Yarrowia lipolytica: one gene and its partners. The protein of the gene in region 3 interacts with the protein of the main gene of each other region in a biochemical or structural test. Links are inferred from orthologs where the notes say so. Each region holds a gene or a part of one and is shown on either strand. Other genes may lie near its edges.

The links.
Region 1: the proteins of YALI1_D25851g (region 3) and YALI1_F32546g form a complex in vitro, tested with the Saccharomyces cerevisiae proteins (2 studies listed by BioGRID). The link is inferred for Yarrowia lipolytica from reciprocal best matches to the Saccharomyces cerevisiae genes SLY1 and BET1.
Region 2: the proteins of YALI1_D25851g (region 3) and YALI1_E06119g form a complex in vitro, tested with the Saccharomyces cerevisiae proteins (2 studies listed by BioGRID). The link is inferred for Yarrowia lipolytica from reciprocal best matches to the Saccharomyces cerevisiae genes SLY1 and SFT1.

The regions. Positions count from the first base shown.
Region 1 is NC_090775.1:3,253,565-3,256,461, reverse strand, and holds YALI1_F32546g (uncharacterized protein), read left to right. Parts: upstream 1-1,775; coding exon 1,776-1,786; intron 1,787-1,838; coding exon 1,839-2,307; downstream 2,308-2,897. Other genes in the region: YALI1_F32554g (uncharacterized protein), read right to left, coding at 600-998; YALI1_F32534g (uncharacterized protein), read right to left, coding at 2,443-2,897. UniProt on the Saccharomyces cerevisiae protein: SNARE required for targeting and fusion of ER-derived transport vesicles with the Golgi complex.
Region 2 is NC_090774.1:609,901-613,371, forward strand, and holds YALI1_E06119g (uncharacterized protein), read left to right. Parts: upstream 1-2,077; coding exon 2,078-2,209; intron 2,210-2,804; coding exon 2,805-2,954; downstream 2,955-3,471. Other genes in the region: YALI1_E06109g (uncharacterized protein), read right to left, coding at 1-1,087; YALI1_E06137g (uncharacterized protein), read right to left, coding at 3,112-3,471. UniProt on the Saccharomyces cerevisiae protein: Vesicle SNARE required for retrograde transport within the Golgi complex.
Region 3 is NC_090773.1:2,582,759-2,587,108, reverse strand, and holds YALI1_D25851g (uncharacterized protein), read left to right. Parts: upstream 1-1,889; coding exon 1,890-1,935; intron 1,936-1,981; coding exon 1,982-3,708; downstream 3,709-4,350. Other genes in the region: YALI1_D25856g (uncharacterized protein), read right to left, coding at 1,069-1,542; YALI1_D25831g (uncharacterized protein), read left to right, coding at 3,901-3,936, 4,003-4,173; YALI1_D25813g (uncharacterized protein), read right to left, coding at 4,241-4,350. UniProt on the Saccharomyces cerevisiae protein: Able to suppress the functional loss of YPT1. SLY1 is essential for cell viability. May interact indirectly, or directly with YPT1.

The DNA of each region.
Region 1 (2,897 bases), on a different chromosome or scaffold from region 3:
TGTAAGCTGCATAAACCCAGAATATTGACTATCGAGCAAAGATGAATCAAATGGGCGTCAGAGATTGAGTGTCAGTGCTTGTGTCGATATATATGTATACAATATTCTTAGATTGATTTCATACCAATTTCTTTGGCTCAGGTTCTTTCTCATACTAGCCGGTTCTACTCCACAAGTACTGGCACACTGTTTCTGTCCCAGCTTGCCTTTATCAGAGAACACGCTTCGACTGACCGATCGAGAGTCATGCAATGATATTAAATTTTATTCTAGTTCAGTTGTCCTCTGGTGCAATGATCACAAGTGTGGGCTATGGGCGCGGTAGCACCTGTGTTCCTAGGGGGGTGCTGTAGGTGCAGTAGGTGCTGTCGATCACAACTGATGAACGTGCTTACACTGTGTGTACCGGGTCGACTGTCATTTTATCAAGTACAGGACAGTACTTGTAGTTGTACCATAGTCAACCGCAGAAATAACAGCTCAGACTCGTCGTAAAGAGTCTGGTGATAGTCCCACTGCAGGCACACGAATCGACGGGTGTCACAAGGCTCTTTTTCAACCACTCCCACACCTCCACACAATCCAACACCCATAATCAATTACCAAACACGGCAAAGCTTGACTCCCTCAAGAACGTCGTCGTAGTCGTCCTGACTGACTCGGCCGATGGACACAAACACAGTTCGCACCTCTGTGGGCGAGTCCTTGACTACCTGGGACGCCACCTGGACAGCTATGATCTGACCCAATGTGTCAGCATTGGAGCCTCCAATTAGCGACATGGGAGTGAGATGAGTGAGTGGCAGATTGCTGATGTCTTCGCCTTCGTCGTCATATTCGGTATGTGCAAAGAACTGATTGCCTGGAGATAGTCTTAGGGGAACATAGTATGATCTAGTGTATGCTCCTTTGCTGTGGATATTGACGAAGATCTTGTCGTTGAATGCATAGGTGACAATGTCTAGATCTTTGATAGTCGTGTGTTTTGAAGGGATCATTGTATGAATGTTTCTTTTCTGTCAGATTGTGAATGTTACCTACTTGTAGCAAGATGTGTTCGTTGATAATGGACCAGAACTCTATTCACGAACTACAATTACGAGTAATGGCGCGAGGCATCTACCTGCTGTACTACTGTGAAGTAGTTTTGAAGGACCGAAGACCTACAGTTATGTTATTATAATAATAAAAAATAGAGACTATGGAGTAACAGACTATTCATAGTATTGTGCGAATGAGAAACTTCTTCTAACTCTGATCTATGTAATATTTCGAAATATAATCAACCAATCTGCCGAAATAGCCACGGTCAGTCTACAGTAAAATATACGGCATACTCACTCTTGAAGTGCTGCTTAATCAATACCACAAACACCACTATAGACATGTCACCCTGCTCTCCACCCATCACCCACTCCTTCTATGCCTCTGAGTCGGCCTCAGTTCATATCGACTATCGACACAACGCACTCATTTTTTTCATGCAGTAAGCAGGAATGAGGTGTTCTACAGTGGACACAGCAAACAAACTAAATAGCTCCGGAGAAATGATATTCTGACAATTGAAAAACATGACTCAAAAATATTGACGTGTCAAAACAACTACAATGTCTCATTTTTTTCAACGACTCTTATCGCCACCGAAATAATGACCACGAGGTGGGCTCAACGAAACCTTATTTGGCTAACATGGGAACCAAATCGTGTCTTTATTTTGCGTGTTCATGTGCATGAGGTTTGTGAAAGTCTAAGAACCTCAGCACCAACAAACAGCAATGACCTCAAGGTGAGTACCTATTGCGATGAAGGCTCTCTTCCGTGCACAGCAACTAACTCAGACATCAACTCTTTGCCTCCTCGGCACAATACGGATCACCAGCCTCCAGCCAGGCTTCTTCTCGAATCAACACCCCTCAACCTCCACAGCCGTACGCCGGGTCGTCTTCGTCCTTTGGAGAGGCCAAGCCCTACGTTCCCGAGCAGGAGGAGTACGATCCTAAAAGCCACAAGCAGTACTCGACGTCGATGCTGTCGCAGTTGGAGTCCCAGAACGACGAGCAAATGGAGGGTCTGTCTGCTAAGGTGCAGCTGCTGAAGGACGTGACCAGCAAGATCGGAGTGGAGATCCGGGACTCCAGCCACCTGCTCAACAACCTGGAGGACACTTTTGAAAATGCATCCACGAAACTCAAGGGCACCTTCAAGCGAATGATGATCATGGCCGACAACAGCGGTATTGGCTGGAGAGTCTGGCTCGGTCTCTTCGCCTTCATTTTCCTGTGTTTCTTCTTTGTTTGGGTGAGATGATTGTGGAGGACTGCTTTCTGGTTGGGCCAGCCAGTATTTAGGACTTATTTATGTATTGATAGACTGCACTGTATGTATACAACGAGACACTGTATCGTATTGATTTCTACACATTATAACTTATCTGAATGGTCGCTACCACTCACAAGACTTCGCCAGAATCAAGGCAATCTTCTCCAGTCCCTGCTGGTCCACCTCGTCGAATCCCTCTAGACTGGCACAGTCAATATCAATGACACCGAAGAGCTTACCGTTCAACACAATGGGAACTACAATCTCGCTCTTGGTGACTCCGTCGCATGCAATGTGCCCGGGAAACTCCTCCACATTCTTGACCAGTTGGGTCTTCTGCTCCTTGGCAGCAACTCCACACACTCCCTTGCCCAGAGGGATCTCCTGACATGCAACCTGACCATGGAAAGGTCCCAAAATCAGCTGTTCAGACTTCTTAGGATCAATCACGTAGAAGCCGGCCCAGTTGATGTCGCTGGATGGCTCGGGGAGCGATTTGAGACCGTGCCAGATGATCGACGAGGCATTGGAAAGATTAGCCACCCAATTGGTCTGACCATCAACTAGAGCTTCCACAT
Region 2 (3,471 bases), on a different chromosome or scaffold from region 3:
CCCTGGAGGCCTGTCGGGCATTGATGACAATGTTGGAGACAGCCACACCCTCGAGGTTAGCCATCTTCTCAAAGTCGACAAAGCCGACTCGGTTTCGGTTAACCTCATTGAGAGAAAGCATAAACGAAGTACCGTAGGAGTTCGACTTGAGAATGGCGCCGTACTCGGAGTTGGCCTTTCCGTTGACGGTAACATGCAGGAAAATGGCGTGGGTGGTAGATTGCAGAACGGTGTAGGCCAGCTGTTTGGGGACCTTAAAGTCCGGAGGGAATCGAGCCACGGAAAAGGACTCACCGTCCACGGATGTCTGGCACTCGAGAGTCTCGTCCTCGTCATTGATGACGGCAACAACGAGGAACTCCTCAGCAAGAGCGAAATCAAGCACGTTCTCGTGGGTCACTCTTTGGTTTCGGAAGTTGTCAGTAGAATAAGCCAGTCGGGACTTCTTGACGCCACCCTCGTTGTACTCAAACAGACAGTACATGAGGTTGTTTCGCTTCTGATCCTTGAGTCCGTTAACGTACTGGCACATGATGGCTCCGTTGCCGACCTCGGTCCATCGGCCTCCGTTGTTGTTGGTGTAGTGAGTGACCACCTTACATCGAGGGGACAGCTCGTCTTCACAGCCTTCGGATCCGGTCCAGATGAAAGCGTCCTTGTTGTTTCGGTCAAAAGTCATCAATTGCAGGCCTCGCTGGTTCGGGGGAGCAGGTGTTCGGAACGACTTGAATGACTCGCCCTTATCAATGGTGAAAAAGACCTTCTCGTCGGGGGTCAAAAAGTAAACTCGGTTCTTGAAGTGGGGGTTGGGGTAGATGGCAATGATGTCCTCGCCCTTGAGCACCTGCTTGAAGGTCTTGCCCTGGTTGTAAGTGACATAGAGATCGTTTTTGGAGGTTCGCAACAGCACCACCTCGGCGTCGTCGGGAGACGCATTGGTCATATCGTTGGTGAGATAGTAGTGCTCAACAATGAGTCCCGAAAACTCGTTGATGGTGGAGCTGATTTTTGTGCTGAGGTCATCGTCAGCCTGCGCAAATAACGCCAGCGACGCCACGAGCACCAGTAGCCGTGTCAATAATCTCATTGTGTGGGTGTGGTGAGTGTGGTGAGTGTGGATGTATTATGCGTTGTCCCTGTGCGTCTACTGGAGATAGCTAAAAGGGTTCGATAAGTGGCTGTGTTCACGTGACCAACTGAAATTAAGCGGGTGTGAGCAACAGAATGTGATGATAGTGTGTAATCAAAGCAAAGAAAATGAGCTGATGTGAGATGGAGCTGTCGTCAAAATCCAGCTCAAACGTTTTAAATTCACTGTCGCTTCGCGTGGCGCTCGCTAAGGTGTATCGTCTTGCTAATGTCGTGTTCAGTGTGTGCCAAAACGGTAGAATTGTAGATCACTGGGGACAGCCGCCTATAAATGATTTCCAAAAAAGTGAAAAAAAACGTTTTCAAGGGCTCGGACCGGTGAAAAATTTACACTCTTTTTGTGTTTGGAATTGGGGTGGCTAGCCACGGACGGGGGTAGACACGCCCTGTGATTGGATAGCAAAGTCTTGGCTTTTTATCAGATGCGCATGCGTCTCTCATGGGCCATATAGAGGGACGTTTAGCAGGTGCTAGTGGATGAAAATGTAACGTATTCAGGTGCGGATTCGTCTTTGGTGGTCTCAAAACTCCCATCCCAACCTCGATCGCTATCCGAAACCGCCGTTTTTGCCACCCCAGGCTCCTCCCATCTAATGGTGTGGTGGCAATTATGCACACTCATCAGATAAATGTCTCTTTAGAATTCCGCCAAGCGCATGTTCTGCAGCGCTAACAATGTACTACAGGTGGCACTGGCGACCTCCGAAACTAAGGCTTCTTTCCTAAATCGAAAACCTCGGATTCGTCCCTATTATTGATGACTAAAGTAGTTGCACTCGGATGAGTAATCACCGAGACAAGTCTCACACTATCATGTTCGTATTTGGCCTCCCCCCGCTTATTCCGCACTAACCTTGTTGCGATCGCCTGCTCCTTTTGGCAGCGCCCGAACTGTATATGCCGAAACCTAACACACAACACACACACAATGTCAGCATACCAGCGAGAAGAGCAAAACAACACTCGGCTCGAGGAGCTGGCGTCGAAAATCTCGTCTTTGCGGTCTGTCACCAATGACATCCACGCTCAGGCTAGCGATTATTCGCTTATTGATTCCACGGTGAGTATGACGGAGAGTGGTGGTCCATGAGGTTGTCATGCGGAGACGCACACAGAGAGAGTGATAGAGAGAGGAGAATGGTGCTAGAAGTCGAGGAAGTACCCAAAAGATGTGGCGATGATTCCTTGATTCTGATCATATTCACGACGTGCCATGGTAGTTGATTATCTTGTTGAACTGGAGGGATCACATGCTCACGGGCACGCGAGATTATAAAGTATGTTTTCTCAGCAGGCTGAAGAAGACCGAGCACGACATTTCATGATCCGAACGGCTTGAATACTTGATCTGAATGAAGCTCTGCCTTCATCTGGCGGGTCTGGTCTCACTATCTTTGTTCTATTGGCTTGTTTTACGAACACCTCTGACTTAGGGGTGATCTAAGAGTACGAACTTGGATACTGGCATTCTCTCGATCTGCTGGTTTCATCTATGGTATTATTATGTGTCTAGGACGTCCTCAGCTGGCTTCAACTCCTTTTTCCTGTATCGTGGAGCAGGGGAACCTCAAAGGAATGCAGTACCGGGGCGATTGTACCCTTCCTAGACATTTCACCCAGTCCAAAACCTCACTTCTTTTACCCTACTAACCCAGACGGACACTGTTGGAAACATGATGACCTCGGTCCGAGGGTCTGCTTCCAAGCTTGGACGGTCGCTCAAGGCCGGACACCCCATCTGGCGAACTGTTGGCATTGCTCTGGCCATCATTCTCCTGCTGTGGTTTCTGTTCAAGTTTTTTTAATGCATGAGGAGAGTAGAAGTACTGGTAGTACCATGAGCGCGTTCGGCGCTGTGTTTATAACTAAGAAGATTGATCGTAACACCACAGTACCGATACCCACGTACTGATCTCATAATACGCAAAGCCTTATCCTATATAAACAGAGAGCGCTGTTTACTTACTCTCGTCCTCCACCAACGTTAATATCCTTACCCAGCCGGTAGTTGGAGATGGATTTGCCCCAGTTGATCTTAGATCGAGTCACGGGCAGCTGTCGTCGCAGGGCCTTAAACGAATCCTCGTTTAGACCGTTAAATGACTTGTTGAGCTTCTCCTGGAACTGCTGCTCGGCTTTGGAGATGGCGTCCACAATGTCAGATTCGGACACAGAACCAAGGTCCACCTTCTCGCTGGACTTGAGACGGACATTTCCGTCCTCGTAGTAATGCACATCCACGTCGATTGTTCCGCTCAGAGAGCCACTCTCGAAGATGTACACAGACCGCCACTTTCCGTTCCAGTAGTTGGCAGGGTTATA
Region 3 (4,350 bases):
ACATTCGCCCTGAGCAATGCTAGTGGTACAAGACTTGGCCCCTCCAAGCCATGTCTGGGACCTGTCTGAGCGGGTAAAAATAGCAAAATGTCTCCCGTTTACGTTTCTGGGATGATCCAAAGTCTACGCTAAGAGTAAATAAAGCAATTAAGCGGGCAGTAGGGCGGCGGCGGTGGCTTCGGACCTAGCCCTACTCCCTGGTGCTACTTGCACGTTTGAGCATACCCCATGCACCCCATATCCGCGTTTATCGCTACTTGTACGCTAGTGGCCATGACGTAAACATGTGGAGCGGCCTGCTTCTGGGCCCATTGTCCACGTACGCTTAGATTTCGTTTAGACATAGTCCTTTTTTCCGGCTAAACTAGCGCCTTTCTGCAAGCCTTGGTAGGCAATGGGTCACGCGCCGGGAGAACCATAGCACCAGAGAAACGAGTGTTCGCATTCGCACTCCACCGCCACCCTTGATTACCTTTACGCCGTTTTAATAGCAAGGGTTTAAAGATCCGGGGGAGCTTGGCGGGGAGTTGAGGAAAGGGTGGAAGGAGAGACGTTCATTTACCGCTAGTGATCCATGACGGCTTTTGATGCGGCTCATGGTGACAGTTGTGTTGGAGAGATAGAACGGGTCCGTGGAATACGGGTACCTGTACATGCATCCATATCGTGGATCGCGCTGCTTTTCGAACGTATCGTGGATATCACGTCGCTACTTGCAGTGCCAGCTCACGACCCCGAGTCCATCTTCAAGCATATAGGCTCCTTCGGTGGTTCAGATGGCCCTTCTTCAGATGATCCCCTCAGAGGCTGATGTGGCTGCAGTGTTGTTGCGGACACTGTTGCGGACACTGTTGCCCCGGCTTGATCCCTTTAGAGCTGGTAGACCCCTGTCAAGGGTCAGTCTTAGTGGGACTGGAAGGAGTATCAGTCTCACTGGTTAACTGTACTGGCTAGACCCCGGAAAGGGATGGCTGTGTGCTTGTGGTTCATTGGGTGCGGTGTGGTGTCTACAACTCGTGTTGCCAGACCTGGACAAGGGCATTTGTGAATGTGACGGTACTCGTAGGTTCACCAGAGATGGTGTCGAACGACACATGATGAGAGTGGAAGCTCCTTGGATGCCATCGACATCACGTGAACCTGTCTGATCGTCCATCGCTGGTTTGTAGGACGCGTTTGAAGGTTCCGACTTGACGTTGTTGGTATGATGCACGAGTACAGGCGATTGTAAGGTGGTCGAGCGTGTTTTAATGTACAGGTGGAAGTAATTGTACTTGTATCAGGGCCTCTTGCAGCTCGTCTTGTGTTGTTCGCATCAAATGACACTCGTCTTGTACAGTACAGTCTCCATGACTTGCTCCAGATTATGTATCCAAAACAGGGGTTGTATACTTGCAGAGTACAAGCACAGGCATACGTATGTACAAGCCTCTTTATATCTTTAAGAGTACAAGTAAACGTACTCGCACTTGTACTTGCACCGGCGAGATGTATGGTCGCAGAAAACCTGTCGGCAGCCCTCCGTCCTCCACATACGAACATGACTGACTTGCATCTTTCACCTGTTCAGCAAGTTTCATACTGCACTAGTCCAAATAGGTAAATCACCTTGGCCTCCTATTTGGGACAGGGTAAGGGCGTCCAGAAGAGGACACCAGTGAAATTACATAATACAAGCTGCAGTACTTGTCCGATACGACCTGTCTCGAAACAGCCGTTTGGAGCAGCGCATTTCTTGCCCGATCAATTCCCTGACCACTCTCACTCTTCCCCAACACGGTGCTTTTTCCCCATTCTGGTCACATGACTGACACGCTCCACCTAACCTTATCTCCAAAGACCACGACATACGCATCTCTCCTTCAGAGGAGTTTCGGAAGTCTAGCCCAATGAACAACAGCACTTTGCCCGAGTCGTTTCGAGACAAGCAGATTGGTGAGTATCACGTGACTAACCGACAATGATTCGCTGACTAACACAGCCGCGATCACGCGTGTTCTCTCTGGAGAAAATGGGAGTGCCAACAAAAGCCAGGCTTGGAAGGTGCTGGTCTTCGACAAGTTTGGCCGAGATGTGATTTCGTCGGTGATGCGAGTCAACGACCTGTTCCAGAACGGAGTCACCATCCACATGTTGCTGGATTCCGATCGGTACGCTATTGACGTTCCGGTGGTGTACTTTGTGCGACCTACATCCGACAACCTTCAAAAGATCACGCGAGACCTGCATTCCCAGCTCTACGAATCCGCGTCCGTCAACTTCGTGTCTCCTCTTCCCCGTCAGCTGCTGGAGACCTTTGCAGCCGACAACGTGGCCACAGCCTCTCAGATTACTCAGGTCTACGACCACTACCTCAACTACGTTGTTTCCGAGGCCAACCTCTTCTCTCTGGCCTTGCCTAACATCTACTCTGAGCTGGCATCCCCCAAGATGGACGAGGACTCGCTCAATGCCATCGTCGACCAGATTGTGTCTGGTCTGTTCTCTGTGGTTGTCACCCAGGGTGAAATTCCCATCATTCGATGTCCCAGAGGAAACGCCGCCGAGATGGTCGCCCAGAAACTCGACTCCAAGCTCAGAGACCACGTCAACAACCTCAAACTGACCACCAACCCTCTCTCGCGACCGGTGCTCATGATTCTTGACCGAAACATTGATCTCGCGTCCATGCTCCAGCACTCGTCCAACTACATGGGACTGGTTCACGACGTGTTTGAGTCCGAAAGAGGCCAGATCCGAATCGCCAAAGACAATGGCACCACCGAGTCGTACGATGTGGCGCCCTCCGACTTTTTCTGGAACCAAAACTCGCTTCTTTCTTTCCCCGAGGTGGCGGAGTCTATGGACAATGAAGTCAATAAGTACAAGGAGGAGTACAGCCAGATCACTGGAGGCGCCAACATCAACGATATGGACACAGATGCATCCCCCACGCATCTCAAGAAGGCTATCTCGGCCATCCCCAAACTCACGGCTCGAAAAGCCGTCATCGATATGCATATGAACATTGCCACTGCTCTGGTGGACCGAATCAAGAAGAGACAGCTGGATATTTTGTTTGAGGCCGAGGACGGGCTGGACAAGCAGGCTCTCTTGCCTCTGCTCAAGAACGAAGAGCTGTCTGGCACGGACAAGCTGAGAGCCTATATTTGTGTCTACCTATCCGGCACTCTCTCGGCTGCCGAACAGAAGGAGTACGAGGGTATTCTTAGCACACAGGGAGTGGACATGGCTGCGCTCAACTACGTCAAGCGGCTCAAGGACCTGTCCAAAATGATGGCGCTGAAGTCGTCAGCTGCTTCTGCACAGGAGCCCCAGACGTCGGAGCAATCGTTCCGAAACTTTGCCTCCAAGCTGTCGTCCGGCAAGATTGGCAACCTCATTTCCAACGTCAAGTCGTATCTGCCACAAAACAAGGATATGCCCGTGACCCGAATTGTGTCCGGCATTGTGTCTCCTTCCGAGTCTGGCGACATTACCGACGACTATTTATATTTCGACCCGTCGGTGCGTGGCTCCAGCACAAAGCCGCCCCGAAAACAGGCGTACAACGAGGCCATTGTGTTTGTGGTTGGAGGTGCCAACTACGCTGAGTACGCCAATCTGATGGACTACGGTGTTAAGGCAGGAAAAAAGGTGGTTTACGGAGGAACAGATGTGGTCAAACCCGATGTGTTTTTGGGAGAGCTGGCCTCACTCACCAAGTAGGAGCGCAAGTAGGAGCCAGAGAGATTGGCTAGGGGTTGTACTTTATGCCACTCCTTTGCACGTAATAATGTAATAGAAAGGATATACTATTGGATCTTGCAAGGGTGGATACTTGACCGTATCCCCCTTTACTCAAGAGGCGGATCTGGTTCACCGACCGAGCAAGGACTGTTGTATGTAAGTAGAGCTCCCATGATCACGCACTACTTGTACATTTTTGTACACATAGTTACCTACAGTTCGGCTACATCATAAAAAATACATTATAATGTCTTGCCATAGCCATAACAACAGCAACGGTGGGGGCAATATCAACCATTGTTCTCCGTAACAGCAATATCAACCATTGTTCTCCGTAACATCATTAATTCGGTCCAAACCACCGTTCTCGATGTCGTGCTTAGATGTAGTCTTTTAGCGCCACCCCTAGATGGTAGTCACGGATGTGGAGCAGCGATGGCTTAAGCAAAGATCAACTTGTGCTTGTGGTCTGGGGTTGGGCAAATGGCAAGCTCTGCCCCTAGCTCCAGTGCTAGGCCAAACAGATATCCAAATCCTTCTCTTTCAACACCACATAGTAATCCACATACTTTTCTCCCCCTGCATCTCTCTTCCAGCACTCTTCCACCGTTGAAATGCTAT